Saccharomyces cerevisiae S288C: one gene and its partner. The gene in region 1 interacts genetically with each later gene. Each region holds a gene or a part of one and is shown on either strand. Other genes may lie near its edges.

Evidence for each region.
Region 2: mutations in TAD1 (region 1) and YFL064C together harm fitness more than expected from each alone (negative genetic interaction), as found in Saccharomyces cerevisiae (one large-scale study listed by BioGRID).

The regions. Positions count from the first base shown.
Region 1 is NC_001139.9:41,415-47,225, reverse strand, and holds TAD1 (tRNA-specific adenosine deaminase), read right to left. Parts: upstream 3,920-5,811; coding exon 2,717-3,919; downstream 1-2,716. Other genes in the region: karyopherin KAP114, read right to left, coding at 1-1,781; ankyrin repeat-containing protein ANK1, read left to right, coding at 2,029-2,574; RTF1 (RNA polymerase-associated protein), read right to left, coding at 4,052-5,728. UniProt on the Saccharomyces cerevisiae protein: Deaminates adenosine-37 to inosine in tRNA-Ala.
Region 2 is NC_001138.5:836-11,727, reverse strand, and holds YFL064C (uncharacterized protein), read left to right. Parts: upstream 1-7,881; coding exon 7,882-8,406; downstream 8,407-10,892. Other genes in the region: pyridoxine biosynthesis protein SNZ3, read right to left, coding at 1-365; SNO3 (putative pyridoxal 5'-phosphate synthase), read left to right, coding at 759-1,427; DDI3 (cyanamide hydratase), read right to left, coding at 1,506-2,183; COS4 (Cos4p), read right to left, coding at 4,163-5,302; YFL065C (uncharacterized protein), read left to right, coding at 8,390-8,698; YFL066C (Y' element ATP-dependent helicase), read left to right, coding at 9,113-10,291; YFL067W (uncharacterized protein), read right to left, coding at 10,365-10,892.

The DNA of each region.
Region 1 (5,811 bases):
ACCTGTACATTTGCTGGATCCTCGGATGAGATCGTGAACACAAGATGAAATTCAGCCTGTAAAATTTCCTTTCTTGAATGAGGTTCTTTCGGATTGTAGCTAATGACTTGACTTAATACTTCCATTAAAGCCCCATTAGTGTCCTCTTCGGCATCACTACTAACCTGGTTGATTATTCGAATTACTTTTTCCTGGGTTTCTGAGCAGACCTCTGGTCCAAGGACTGAATCTAGTTCGGCAAAATAACAATAGTACGTAAATGCTATTAATGTTGCGGATTTAATGAGCTCTTTATCAGATTTTAGCGCCAAATTAAGACTTTTTGCCAAGAATGCAGATGTCAAGGGTTTGATATCAGGTAATGCATCTATAAATTTGTCTAGTACTCTGGGAATAGTCAAAATTGCACGCGCCAATATTAATTCTGGTATTTCTTGTGATACTAAGATATTTTCTAACGTTTTTATTAAAATTTGCAAAGATTGATCGATATTTTCACCAGTTATCTCATCATCATTAAGCAAAATACACTGTAAGAGATATAGTAAAGATTCTAAAGTTGAATAATTACACGTGCTGTGTTCTATATCGTTGGAAACAACTTTGAAAATTAGGGAAAGTTGAGGATTGGGTAATGAAGTAAAAAATTCATTGGCTTGATCTCTAACATTATATGATGCTGCTAGGCCTGTTTCCTTCGATACAAATGTATTGAAATCGCTTGTCCATATCTCTCTTGTCTCAGAACTTAGCTGACAAAGAATGGTTAAAGATGTTATAATTTTGTTCATCTCTTCAACACTAAATTGCAAAGTGCAAACACTAGTCAAAAATTCTACAATATAAATAGAACAATCATGAACTGTTTCTAAAAGGGGTTCACTTTCAGTAGTTTCGACATTTGCATTTATATGGGTAACGTTTTCCAGATCTTGGATTGCCATTATTTTGAACTGTTTTTGTAATTCACTTGAGAAATGCTTTCTAGAGAAATCATTTTTAATAAAAACCAAATTCTCGTATATAATGGATTTAAATTTCAACTGAGAAATAACATCTACGTTTCCAAAATTCAAAGTCAACAATTGTCCCAATATCTGTAAAGAAGTAGCTAAACATTGGGAGACAAAACTTTTTCGTGACGCCTCATCATACTCATTATGGGAGCTCATTTGTAGAAGACATGCTTTAAGTAGCTTCAAAGCAGCAATTTTGGCTATCAAAGTAGAAGTTTCTGTATTGAGTACTTTGAAAACGATCTCCATTGTCGCCAAGCCAATTCCGCCTTCAAAGAACATTTCTTCAGATACGACATCATCGTAAATTTCATTCAATAAAGACATCGCATTTAATGAATGCTGATGAGAGATAGCATCATAAATAACTGTTAAAAGCTGCGGCCATTGATCAGGAAAATCAACCGCAGATATCTGAACAATACAGTAAGATGCACCATTTTTTATTTTGGTATTTTCATTGTCATTTAAGCATAATTTCAGTAGCACTTCTCGGATAAAATCTTTAACATCTATTTCGACGTTCGATGTAGAACGGTATGATTCAAATCCTGGACTCCAATACATGGTGATCAATTTTCTTAACGACAATAAAGCAAACTGTCTCGATTCTAGAGAAGCTTCGTGCTGTAAGGCAACGTTTGCCAGCGCTTTAAACACTTGAGATGCATCGGAATCACACCACTGTAACAATTGCGTTTCCGCAACTTCTCTAGTGTGTTTATCAGCTGATTGAGCACCTATTATCAATTCATTAATATCCATTTTAATGTGTTGATAGTGTTACAATTACGTTCAAGATTTTCGGATCGTGTATGCAGGTCATATACATCCATATGTATCTTTTTTTTTTTTTCCTAGTATACCCAAGGTATAACGCGTTGATAGAAAGGTTGACAATAAATTCATTATATAGGGGTCCTGTGAGGTAGTTTCTGAATCCCAGTGAAAAAAGTCATAAGTGAAAGAAGTCGAAGTTTTTCACAAAATAAATTAGTTTCTTTTTTTGATCATGAATACTGAAGGTGCTTCTTTAAGTGAACAATTGCTGGATGCAGCTAGAAGAAACAATCTGGATCTTTTGGAGACCGTATTTGATAGCTTAGATAATGATCCTGAGAAGATTGCAAAGCTAATTAACGAATCCAAAGAACCACTGGGGAATACAGCGTTACATTTATGTTGTAAGTATGGATCCTGGGAAGTTCTCGACAAGATTCTCGATCAAGACGGTGAAATCGAAATAGACCCACAAAACGACGTTGATGGCGACACTCCGTTACATGTTACTGTCAGATACAGTCAAGAGGAGCCTGAGCATGGAACTTTTATTGCTAGAAACTTAATTGAAGTGGGTGCGGATCCTAGGGTGAGAAACTATAACAATCAAAAGCCAGTTGATTTGGTTCATGGTGATGAACTGGATGAATTAATTGACCTTTTGCAGGGTGCCGAGTTAGCGATTGATAGTACCAATGGATCAGGTGATAACAATGAGGATGGGGAAATGATAGATGATGGTCCATCTGACGATGACGAAGAAGATGATAAAAAATGATAAAATATGTGATGATAATACCACAGAGAGGGAAAGATAGATGAACTCTGGATATATAGATATTTCTACTGTGTATATATTTCTTTAAGGTGCACTAACAAAAAAGTGTGCATATACGCATATTCAACAATATATATATATATTACTTCACATCATCCGTTCTGGTGGGTATCCAACCATCGGGAGATAAAATGTTCTTTATTGCGATAATTAACTGGCTTCTCTTTTTTTGACGAGATTTAAATTCCAAATAGCTTATTCCTTCATACTCTGGTCTTATTTTTTTGAATAGTTCCCATTGTGCAAACCGGCTTACTTGCGATTGACAGTGTTTCCTCAGTGGTTTCGATGATTTGGTATAAAATCCATTCCTCACGCCATTAAGAATCGCTTCTTCGGTGCTAAAGTCATCCATAAAGAGCTTGACACTACACATTAGACCAGGAACATCCTCCTCATCCAATTTATCATCATAAAATGGTTTGAGGCAATTCAGGAATTTAATTTCATTATCTAGATTCGGTAGACGAGTGTGAAATGATTGCTCTAGATGATGTTTCGTTTCATCTTCTAAATTAGGAATCACAATGTACTTTAAAAATACAGGTTTTTCAAAGAGTTCATAATTTAAACAATTCAGTACCGACGACCGTTGTTTCATTAATAATTTATCAGAACAGGATTTAGATAAAGTGATATTGGAATCATATCTTCCTGGTTTAGTCCTAACGACATTTCTTCTATTGAAATTCAAGCGTCCCCTCAATATTGTTTTCACACTACGGTCGACGTATTGAAATTCGTCGCTATCTTCTATTTTGATGAAATCATCATTTTTGCAATTATCATTCAGGAAACTCATGCTGGCATCACCACAGGGCAATCTCGAGATGTACAATGCCAACTCCCAGTTTTCCTTTAAATTGAATCTGGCAGGTATCTCGTCATTATGTTGAATGAATTTATCACCACTTGATGGATTATAGTTTTGAATACGGTTTAATAAAACTGTATTAGCACCTCGTAATGCCAGTATTTCTGCATGACAGTCATGCAGAATCTTCCCCTCACTTCTTTGTAGTTCTGAATCTGGCAAAGCCTTCACACCAGTAGCTATGGAAAGTATCTCTATCTTATTCGCACCGCCATCTCTGTTAATAGCTGCAACACCTGCCAATATTGTCCACTCTCTGATACCTGAAGGCCTAATTATTGGTCTGCAGGCAGATTTTAGTTTTGAATACTCATTAATCACCCTCGTTGATATCTCTTCACCCAATTTATCCTCACTTGGCATAGTGAGAAGGTTTACTATGCATGGCCTTGTTCCTTGGCACGAAACCATTCACATCACTATTATTTTCTGTTCATTTTTTTTTTTTTTTGCATCACAACGATGATAGTATTATTTTTATTTAGTATATTTAAATATATAAATATAAATATATTTTTACAAACACTGAAATTGTCCTGCCTACTAAAACTTAAGGTCAAATTTGATATCCAATTCACCAACCATGCGCTCCAACCCACCAAGGCGCCTGAATTGTGCCACAAGTAGCTCTTTCTCACGCTTATCTTTAGCATCTTTATCTTCTTGTAGCTTCTCTTGTTGTGCAATTTCTTTAGCTTTTGCGTTTTCTTCCTTTTGTATCTCCTGATAGTAAACTTTGGTCCTGGTTTTTAGCCTGCTGAAAGGATCGCTCTTTGAATCAAAGTTATTACTGTCTTCTTTTTTCACATGCTCTGCATTTCTGATGTTACTCATATTCAATTTTCTATTCTTAGAGGTCAACTCGCCTAGTTTTTTAATGTCAGATTGGTCATTTTCATGATGCTTCTCGTATACAGACATTCGTTTCTCAAAGTTTCTTAACTGAGCAGAGTATTTTGCAATGTCCTTTTCATTATTAGTCTCCTTGGCATATTGCAATTTTTCTCTCAATACAGTTTTCTCCAAGACTGCATTCGTACCAGATAGTTTTTTATTGAATTGCATCCTATGGCGAACAACCTCATCTGTAGTTTTATCAGTCAATGGTGTATTGACAAAATCCATAACCTCTTTCGTTTTGTTACTCAAAGAATGTAAAGAAGGTTTAATCATTTGCGAATTATCCAATGCCCTGAGATACCTTTGGTATTCGTCTTCGGCAAACAAACCATCACTAAAATAATTCATTTGAAAAACCTTTCTGTCTTTACCTTGGGTAACACCGAAATACTGGTTAGTATAGAACTTACCCATATTGTAAGGTTTTTGCAAGAAAACTCTCTCAATTCTCACCATACGGTAAGAAGTTTTGCCGGTACGTTTATCTGTGCCAACATTGACTCTCCCATAACAACCTTTGACTGCATCTTCAAACCCGGGATAAAAACAAAATTTTGCGACAAATGAACGACCGATCCTTAGTTTGTTGAAATCAGAAATCTCAGGCTCTCTGTCTTGCTCGTCCTCCTCTTCAGCCCACTCCACTTCTTCTCTTTTGTCGTATGTATCCCTTCTATCAAAAGGATTGTATTCTTCATCATCCCCGTATTCACTCCCTTCATCGTCCTTGTAGTCTTCTTCCCTGTAATCTTCCTCATCGTCTTCGTCTTCATTATCGCTGTAGTGACGGTTTTTCCTCGCTCTTTGTTTCTTTAATTGCGAAAGTTTTGAAGCCTTGATATCAGAATGCCCAGTAGCATGGGTTGATCTAGTGGAAGCTCTGGTCTTTCTGGAATCTTCGTCGTTCTTGGCTCTCTGTTGTTGTTCCTTCATATCTCTTCCACGTGCTCTAAAAAGTTTCCTCTCCTGGTACTTCTGCATGATTTGAGATCTTTCAAATAATAGAGTCTCACGTTCCATTTCAGGTAAGGATTCCAGGTGCTCTCTGTCGCTCTCATCCTTGTACTTTCCTTCCAAGGGAAAAGGATTAGCTTCTTCTTCTTCTTCGGAACCGTAGTCTGCATTTCCTACAGAGTAAGGGTTATAATCGTCCTCCTCATCATCATCCTCTACACTGCCGACTTCAATTCTCCTTTTCTTGGAAAGAGATTGGTCGTTGTTTTTTGCCCTTTTGGCAGATGTAGTTGTCAAAACTTGATCTTCTTCTTCGGATTCATCGGCACCAGCCAAGGCTAATAAATCCTCATCTAAATCAGACATTTCTATAGTGCTCTCAACAAATTAGTGCAATACAATTACAAACTTTGGTATCCTTCAAGTACCTTTTGTAACTTTGAATATTT
Region 2 (10,892 bases), on another chromosome or scaffold:
AATGGCACCTTGAAGTTATGCTTCTCAATGTGATGTGTCCAATCAGCTGGAGTCAAAACCTCACTTTCGTCAATGTAGTCTACTTGCAGCTCTTCCAGGATCTGTGCCTCCACGAAGTGTCCAATACGGACCTTTGCCATCACCGGAATTGAAACAGCTTCCATAATTTCTTTGATCATGCGAGGATCTGACATACGGCATACTTGGCCAGACTTGCGCATGTCAGCTGGAATGCGTTCCAATGCCATTACAGCACAAGCGCCCGCTCTTTCTGCGATAATAGCCTGTTCAGGTGTGACGACGTCCATAATCACACCGCCCTTTAACATTTGGGCAAGCCCAGTTTTAACCTTGAATTCTGACATTTTTGTCTTTTTTACGATATACTTATTTTTCTATTATAGTTCCTTTCCCAGAAGGGTCGAATAATAATGTGACTATGGTGGAGAAACATACTAGTTTTATATATGTGTGTGTGTGTGTGTGAAATTCATTCCACATGAACAAATAATTCTGCTCTTTCCTTGCCACAACATTTTGCCATTCAAACGATATAATGTGCCTACTACTGTTATGCCATTGGGCGGCGCGTCACTTTATTGGAAACTGTAAGAATAGTTGAGCCATCTTTCATCATTCAGCTACAAAAAAAAAAAAAAGTTATTCATTGATAAAAGCCCATTTTTTTCTGTTTGAGTAGCAAGCACACTTACCATGACCCTGGTTGCTGGGGCCAAGACAAGAGTAATATCTCAAAAATGACCGTCGTTATCGGAGTCTTGGCATTACAGGGTGCGTTCATTGAACATGTGCGACACGTAGAAAAATGCATCGTCGAAAACAGGGATTTCTATGAAAAAAAACTATCTGTGATGACAGTGAAGGATAAAAATCAACTAGCTCAATGTGATGCATTGATCATACCTGGGGGAGAGTCGACTGCAATGTCCCTTATTGCAGAAAGAACAGGATTTTACGACGATCTCTACGCATTCGTACACAACCCAAGCAAGGTAACCTGGGGTACTTGTGCAGGTTTGATTTATATTTCACAACAATTATCTAACGAAGCAAAACTGGTCAAGACGCTGAATTTACTAAAGGTTAAAGTAAAAAGAAATGCATTTGGGAGACAAGCTCAGTCTTCTACCCGGATTTGCGACTTTTCAAACTTTATTCCTCACTGCAATGATTTTCCTGCTACTTTTATAAGAGCCCCAGTAATAGAAGAGGTGCTGGATCCTGAACATGTGCAGGTCCTGTACAAATTAGATGGGAAGGATAATGGTGGTCAAGAACTAATTGTTGCCGCTAAGCAAAAAAACAATATTCTTGCGACATCATTTCATCCGGAATTGGCAGAAAACGATATACGGTTTCACGACTGGTTCATCAGAGAATTTGTTCTTAAAAACTACAGTAAATAAAAGGGACGTATAGTATAGTTATGGAGAAAGGAGATCATCACTGTTCATTCTGAACTCGCCTCATTGAAACTTACCTATTTAGTTATACCCAAATGTATTGCATATGACTTTCTTTGAAAAATCATCACCCAAAGAACTGGTGTGGCCCCACGGTTTTCTCGAGTTTTCAGTGTCCACCACCGTAGCAAAACATGATAACCAGTGCAGTCTTGGAAATTGCTCGTTAATGGCACTAACTGTATCGATATGAATCAGATCGGTATTGGATCCGACATTGTCAAGCGTAGTAGCAATCTGCAGAATGAGCCCCAAGGTGGTAATGTAGCCAGTCCCAGTCAAATCCTGGTGACGAATGATGGCCTCAGTTACTGCATCTGCATAGTCCTGATTTCCACCTGTCGCATTAAATACAAGCTCCCTTGAAAGTATGCCACCATAATACTCAAATGACATCTTCGTGGCTCTCATATTCTTATCTGTTGTTGCAATATCATGAAGTAAGCAGGTGACGTACAAAACTTCCTGATCCAAGTCCCATGCTGGAAATTGGTCTCTTATGATAGCTACACTATATTGAAAAACACGCAAAGAGTGGTTTAGAACGGGGGCAGTCAATTCTTTAGCGGCATATTCCCGAACAAGCCTAGCAGTTTCACTGTTTGGAGGCGGAACAACGGCCCGTGGTCTAGGTGCATTCACCACTGGAATGGCCTTTTCTACCTCTCTAGGAACTCTTACAAATCCGTACTGTGACATGATTGATTCTTTTGAAGAGAAGCAAGGCAAAAAACAGTACGAAGCAACTTCATGTTAACAGAAGAAGAAGGAAACTAACCCATTTATATATAATTTTATGAGGGGACCGATCCTAAAAAGTTATTTGTAAAGCTCGTACAAGATTGATTGATGACTTCCCGACAAACTATTGTGCGGTGGAGTATTTTGTATTATAGAAATGATAGTGTCCATGCACTTTAATAAGATCTTTTTTGCGGACATTTGTTTCGGGGCCGTCCAAAGTTGTTTGATGGTATAACTCCGCATATTTGACATCTTTCTCTTTTAAACCAGTATCAGTTAGTCTTTTGCAATTTTCTTGAGGGATTCAGTCTAGAAAGTTGATTTTCATTGCTGTTAAGATAAAAATTCCTTCTAACCCAGCTTGTACTCCGTATACTTTCAATGCTCTCAAAAAGATATGGATACTAGTTAGTTTAGACCCTGTAGTTTCACCAGCTGCTAGTATTCAACGTTCATGCGACTTCTATAAAGGAGTGCTTGGCTTTGATGTTACAACATTCGGGAACTATCGCAGGGCTCTGTCTTTTTTTGGAGTCAGAAAAATCAATTTGCATGAGGTGGGAAAGGAATTTGAGCCCAAGGCACAGAAGCCAACTCTCGGATCTGTCGATCTGTGTTTTATCTTAGAGGATCCTTTGAATAACAGTTACCCATCTTGAAAGCTTGGATTTTCCAATTGAAGAGGGCACTGTAATCCGTACAGGCGCAGTCAACCCTATTATCAGTATACATCCGTGATTAAGATGAAAGTGTGATGGAAATATCAAATAGAATAAAAGAAACGGAATAGAGCTATTTTTTTTTTATATTATAGACATAGTCTAAGCGAGTTTAACCTTTGAAATATAAAAAAAAAAAACAAAAGGAAAAAAGTAGTATGTGGGCTGCACTAAACTAAAACCGTGAGGTATTTAGATATATATTCTACATTGTTTTACGTTATAGCATGTATAAACATACAAATACATACTGTGAGATGATTGTGGTATGACACAGTGTGTAATAGAGGAAGTGAAGAATGCCAAGAGCAGTTTTTTTATCTATTTTCTGCGAATTTTCTTATGTCGGAAGTTATTCTCGGATAATATGCGGCTGCGCTAAAAATAGTTTATCGCATGCGTAAATCAGGGACCAATTTATAATGCTATAATGGACGTCGCAGTGCAGGAACTACTTGATTTTTTTTTTTTTTTTTAATTTTTTTCTTTCTATAGCTAGTCACACAGCCATTACCACCCAAAATTAAACTGTTTTATGTATGTTTAGTCACCAAATTATCAAAAGAGCATGATTTTTCTCCTGAGCACTTCAAAATGAAATTTGAAATCTTACCAAGCCCTCAATATAAACCAATATTTCAAGAAAGCTAGAGACATTGCAAATATTTTGCTCATTCAAACATATAGCTAAGGCAAAGGGATACTAAAACTCAGCAACTTGATGAAAGTTCGAAAATAACTGGCAGTGTATCTATAAAAGCTTCACTGTGGGAATGCAGTGTCCATCCAGTATTCAGCACAGGTTTTCCTAAGCCTTCTGTACATCCCTTCATTTAACAGTAAATGTGGAAAACAAGAAGGGTAATTGTGAAAGAGTCCGATTGTAGTTGATGAACAGTAAAATCACTTATTATTTAAGGATTCCGCTGCGGTATGCGTTTTCTACTGATGCGTGGAGCAAGCCACGCCATGTGATTAACCTTGCTTGATAAAAACACCAACCCATCGTTCAGAATATGCATGGAATACAGCATCTCTAGGAGGAGAAAGACAATAAGTTTTGCGCATATGGTAGGATGATAGCACACTGATTTCTGTCAACCAGTGAGAAATAGGGAAAAAGAGAATGGTTGTAATCGTAAAAAGTAGTCTCGTTTTGGTTATTCGCAGCTGACAAACTACAAAATATATAAATTGAAAAAGTTGTATTTATCTTTACGCTAAGGACTCCTCACTGCAGGATAATTGCGCTTCTTTAATATATGGCCATAGTTCCACATTCAATGATAGAGCCCGCATAGATTTCTTCGCAGATAGAACGCGGTAGAAGAAGTGGCTAAAAAACCATTCACAGTCAATCCCGTCAAAGAAAAACTCTTCATTCTTCCAGACTTTTTTCTCAAACAAGTACCTATTCATTTTCCTTGCAATTTCGTCCCATCCATTCGCACCACTTTCTTGCTCATTTATAATAGTCGACAAGAACTGCATCTTGTGTTCCATGCTCATAATCAAAACCCTTATATTTTGGAAACCTTGTACCAACATGAAAAGAATCCACCCGAGATACAAGGTGCGTAATAGAAGGCACATTCCCCGTGACACATATATGCAGCACAAAAAATTAAGGAATGGTATCAACATAAAAATATTGGAAATCCTCTTTAAAAACCAAGTAAGCTTAAATCGGTAAGCTTCCTTGGGAAGTTTAGCATCTTCCAGGCCAACAGGGCTCCATGATTTCTCAGAATTAAACAACTTCCATTGTTTTTCAACTTCTCTAAAATAAACTCCCAATGCTTCTTCAATGTAAGGGACGGAATCCTTAAATGACTTAACCTTGGCAGCTTCGTCTTTTTTCAAAGAGAAGGGTTCGAGAAGGGTTGTTCTGAACGCTTCTTGGCAGCCCATGGCATTGAAGAAAAAGTACCTAATATTCCAAGCCTTATTTTCATATAAGTACGAATTTAGATTTGCTGCAACAACTTCCCAATCATGAGGATCCGAACTTGGTGTGCTTTTAGTAATCTCTTTGCAAAACTGAGTGAGTTGTTTCGATAAGGAACGTTTACGAGAAAGTCTAAAAATAACAAGAACAAATACTGGTCCCCAAAACAGGACAAGAAGTGAAACCATAAGCGGGTAAATCCAATTGTTGGAAAGCTTCCACCAGACGCTAAGTGGTAGCCATAATAGCATCCAGATGCGAAACGCTAAGGACTTGTAAATTTCATAACAAAACCAGGTAAAGCTGCTTCTGAAAAGATCTTGAGGTAGAACAATCTTTTGAGATTCGAGCTGTTTGAAAGATAATACATCTACACTTTTCTCATTTTTAAGTTCATTTTCTTTCATTTTCGGTAATGAGATGGCAGTTCGAGGGGTTTTTTATTCGAGATAGTAACTTCTGGCTTTTCGCTTTTATAGAGTAGAAAAAAAAGCCGCCGAGGCGCGCGCGTTCATGCAATGGCTCAGTAACCTCGTGATAGAAAAAGGGCAACAATGTTGGGCTATTTTAGGCACAGAAACTCTACTATTCGAAAAGGGAGTCCATTTCATTTCCGGTTTTCTATCTAAGTTACTCGATAATCGTAATAATACTTTTACAAAGCTTTGTATGAGGGTACATCACGGTGTGCCGTAACTTTGGTTTACATTTAAGGTGCGACCAGCAATGTCACTGTTCGCACAGCAGTTGTTACCCAAAATGAAACGTATATTTTAAGCGTAGATTGCCTGTGACAAAAATGTGTAAATATCTAATAGAAAATAGACGTAGCTGTCACAAATATTTACACAGGAAAGAGTCTGTCCTACGAGTATCTTACATGAAGATTCATAGAACCAATTTATTTCCCTATATTGATAACCTTTCAATACCATTTTTTCTCCTTATGTTTGATGTCACTGTAAAAAGGCTCAAAGCAAAACTTAGAGGTACGGTGGTGCTAAGATCATGCATGACCTCTGGGTAATTACTACTTCTCCCGCTTGCTTTGAGATTCTGTATATAAATGTTTCAAACAAAAGGATAGAGCACGGATGGGAGGCCTTATAGTAAAAATTATTCGTTTTAATCATGCGTCAGTGTGCGATTCTATGACAATAGTATGAGAAGATAGGGTGAAGTAAAAGCGTCTGTATGACTATAGAGTACAGTTATATTACAATATATGGAATAGAGCATAGTGGTATGACGGTATTAAGGAACATTTAAGTTAATGACCTCATGGTGGTATTGATACGCAATTGAGTGTGTTTATGTATTATTGTTGAAGGATAGAATATTTTTATGTTTAGGTGATTTTAGTGGTGATTTTTTTGTAATATTGGCATAAGTGTATATAAATTGAGTGGTTAGTATACGGTGAAAAAGAGGTATAACGTATGTATTAAGGGCATTTATACAATATTTGGGGCCGCGGAATAAGATATAAATATTAAAATGTGGATAATAGTGGGAGTTATGCGTAAATGGCACAGGGTATAGACCGCTGAGGCAAGTGCCGTGCATAATGATGTGGGTGCATTTGTACTCATGAAGTGAGAGATGGGCCATGGAGTGGAATGTGAAAGTAGGGTAAGTTGAGATAGTATATACTATTGTAGCATCCGTGTGCGTATGCCGTATCAGTATACAAGTGATGGTGAGTATGACAGATGGGGCATGGTAGGGTATTGGCAGGGTAAGTATGTGTGCATTGTTTACGATCATTTGTTAACGTTTCAATATGGAGGGTAGAACAACAGTACAGTGAGTAGGACATGGTGGATGGTAGGGTAATGGCAGGGTAAGTGGCAGTGAGGTTGGATATGGGTAATTGGAGGGTAACTGTTATGGTGGATTTGTGGGTTGGTGGTGGGGAGGCAGGGTAACGAGTGGGGAGGCAGGGTAATGGAGGGTAAGTTGAGAGACAGGATGGAAGGGTTGGATTAGGGTAGGGTTGAGGTAGTATTAGGGTGTGGGTGTGGTGTGTGGGTGTGGGTGTGGTGGGTGTGGTGTGGGTGTGGTGTGGTGTGGGTGTGGTGTGTGGGTGTGGTGTGGGTGTGGTGTGTGGGTGTGGGTGTGTGGGTGTGGTGTGTGTGGGTGTGTGGGTATATATATGTCACTGTATTGCATGCTGGATGGTGTTAGACAAGGCCGTAGGGACATATAGCATCTAGGAAGTAACCTTGTACGAAAATAGGCAATATTTCCTGTTTAGGCGATTGGGACGCAGATTTTAGTCCAACGATCTAGCGTCAAGGAATTTTTTTATAGTGGGACATTGCACCAAGGAAGTAACTTGATACGTCGTGGGTGAATGGGTCTGTTTTCTTATTCGGCGGGGTAATACATTTTTGGGGGAAGTTTGTCTGTCTGACGCGCCATATGTAGGTACGCCAAAAAGGGCTCCTCTACTTCGAAGCGCGAGGTCGTATACCTAATAAGGAAATGTAATTTATAACTTTCTATTATATTGGTCTTTTCGAGAGCGGAAGAAGTTGTAGGCTAAGCGCAGGCTAAGCGTAGGTCCATGTTTGAAGTATCCAAGAGAATATCCACGAATCCTGGTTCTCCTCGACTAAGCAGATAGTTAAGATACTGTGCACCATGGAAATTGAAAACGAAAGTGCGTACCGACTACTTTATTTTTGCAGGCCGGAAATCAAGCGATGAATGAGACATCCTTCTGTTTTCTATGTTGTGCTTGAAGGGGACAGACAGTCGCTTATCTTAGTGAGATTTCTTATTAACTGAATTTTCTTTGCTGCTGCTGGAGATTTGCACCTGCATAGCGCAGATTCTGCATCTTCTCAATAGCTTAATTATTACATTCTTAGATGATGATAAGACGGAAACTGGACAATCTTTTGTTTATATTGATGGATTTCTTGTCAAAAAGCATAACAATCAACATACTATTGTTAATTTCGAAACTTACAAAAATAAAATGAAAGTTTCCGATAGGCGTAAGTTTGAAAAAGCAAACTTTGACGAGTTTGAGTCGGCTCTAAATAACAAAAACGACTTGGTACATTGTCCCTCAATAACTTTATTTGAATCGATCCCCACGGAAGTGCGGTCATTCTACGAAGACGAAAAGTCTGGCCTAATCAAAGTGGTAAAATTCAGAACTGGTGCAATGAATAGGAAAAGGTCTTTTGAAAAAATTGTCATTTCCGTCATGGTCGGGAAAAATGTACAAAAGTTCCTGACATTTGTTGAAGACGAACCAGATTTCCAGGGCGGACCAATCCCTTCAAAGTATCTTATTCCCAAGAAAATCAACTTGATGGTCTACACGTTGTTTCAAGTGCATACTTTGAAATTCAATAGAAAGGATTACGATACCCTTTCTCTTTTTTACCTCAACAGAGGATACTATAATGAGTTGAGTTTTCCGTGTCCTGGAACGTTGTCACGAAATAGCGAGTGCCAGGCCGAACGACAGCTCTACGATGCGTACTTTCACTGACTTTGTTTCTGGCGCACCTATTGTAAGGAGTCTTCAGAAAAGCACCATAAGGAAATATGGGTACAATTTGGCACCCCACATGTTTTTGTTACTACACGTAGATGAGCTATCGATTTTTTCTGCATACCAAGCAAGTTTACCTGGCGAAAAGAAAGTCGACACAGAGCGGCTGAAGCGTGATCTATGCCCACGTAAACCCATTGAGATAAAGTACTTTTCACAGATATGTAACGATATGATGAACAAAAAGGACCGATTGGGTGATGTTTTGCGTGTGTGCTGCCCAAGTTGAGAAGAGATACTAACAAAATGACCGCGGCTCTCAAAAATAATTGACGAGCTTACGGTGATACGCTTACCGTTATCCAGAGCTACAGCGCAACGTATACGTCGACGATACAACAAGAACGGTTCATCGGAGCCTCGACTAAAGACGCTTGACGGACTCACTTCCGAGCGCTGGATTCAATGGTTAGGCCTTGAAAGCGACTACCATTGTTCATTCTCTAGTACTCGGAATGCGGAAGACGTAGTGGCAGGTGAGGCGGCGAGTTCAGATCATGATCAAAAAATTTCAAGAGTAACGCGAAAAAGGCCCCGAGAGCCCAAGAGTACAAACGATATCCTCGTCGCAGGCCAGAAACTCTTTGGCAGCTCCTTTGAATTCAGGGACTTGCATCAGTTGCGCTTATGTCATGAAATATACATGGCAGACACACCCTCTGTGGCAGTACAGGCCCCACCGGGCTATGGTAAGACGGAGTTATTTCATCTCCCCTTGATAGCACTGGCGTCTAAGGGCGACGTGAAATATGTGTCGTTTCTGTTTGTACCGTACACAGTGTTGCTTGCTAATTGCATGATCAGGTTGGGCCGACGCGGTTGCTTGAATGTGGCCCCTGTAAGAAACTTTATTGAAGAAGGTTACGATGGCGTTACTGATTTATACGTGGGGATCTACGATGATCTTGCTAGCACTAATTTCACAGACAGGATAGCTGCGTGGGAGAATATTGTTGAGTGCACCTTTAGGACCAACAACGTAAAATTGGGTTACCTCATTGTAGATGAGTTTCACAACTTTGAAACGGAGGTCTACCGGCAGTCGCAATTTGGGGGCATAACTAACCTTGATTTTGACGCTTTTGAGAAAGCAATCTTTTTGAGCGGCACAGCCCCTGAGGCTGTAGCTGATGCTGCGTTGCAGCGTATTGGGCTTACGGGACTGGCCAAGAAGTCGATGGACATCAACGAGCTCAAACGGTCGGAAGATCTCAGCAGAGGTCTATCCAGCTATCCAACACGGATGTTTAATCTAATCAAGGAGAAATCCGAGGTGCCTTTAGGGCATGTTCATAAAATTTGGAAGAAAGTGGAATCACAGCCCGAAGAAGCACTGAAGCTTCTTTTAGCCCTCTTTGAAATTGAACCAGAGTCGAAGGCCATTGTAGTTGCAAGCACAACCAACGAAGTGGAAGAATTGGCCTGCTCTTGGAGAAAGTATTTTAGGGTGGTATGGATACACGGGAAGCTGGGTGCTGCAGAAAAGGTGTCTCGCACAAAGGAGTTTGTCACTGACGGTAGCATGCAAGTTCTCATCGGAACGAAATTAGTGACTGAAGGAATTGACATTAAGCAATTGATGATGGTGATCATGCTTGATAATAGACTTAATATTATTGAGCTCATTCAAGGTGTAGGGAGACTAAGAGATGGGGGCCTCTGTTATCTATTATCTAGAAAAAACAGTTGGGCGGCAAGGAATCGTAAGGGTGAATTACCACCAATTAAGGAAGGCTGTATAACCGAACAGGTACGCGAGTTCTATGGACTTGAATCAAAGAAAGGAAAAAAGGGCCAGCATGTTGGATGCTGTGTCTGCTGACACAGTGGAACTGATAGAAAGAATGGACAGATTGGCTGAAAAACAGGCGACAGCTTCCATGTCGATCGTTGCGTTACCGTCTAGCTTCCAGGAGAGCAATAGCAGTGACAGGTGCAGAAAGTATTGCAGCAGTGATGAGGACAGCGACACGTGCATTCATGGTAGTGCTAATGCCAGTACTAACGCCAGTACTAATGCGATTACCACTGCTAGTACCAACGTCAGGACTAATGCGACTACCAATGCTAGTACTAATGCGACTACCAATGCCAGTACCAATGCCAGTACCAATGCGACTACCAATGCCAGTACCAATGCGACTACCAACTCCAGCACTAATGCTACTACCACTGCCAGCACCAACGTCAGGACTAGTGCTACTACCACTGCCAGCATCAACGTCAGGACTAGTGCTACTACCACTGAAAGTACCAACTCCAGCACTAATGCGACTACCACTGCCAGCATCAACGTCAGGACTAGTGCGACTACCACTGCCAGCATCAACGTCAGGACTAATGCTACTACCACTGCCAGCACCAACGCTAGTGCCAAGGAGGACGCCAATAAAGATGGCAATGCTGAGGATAATAGATTCCAT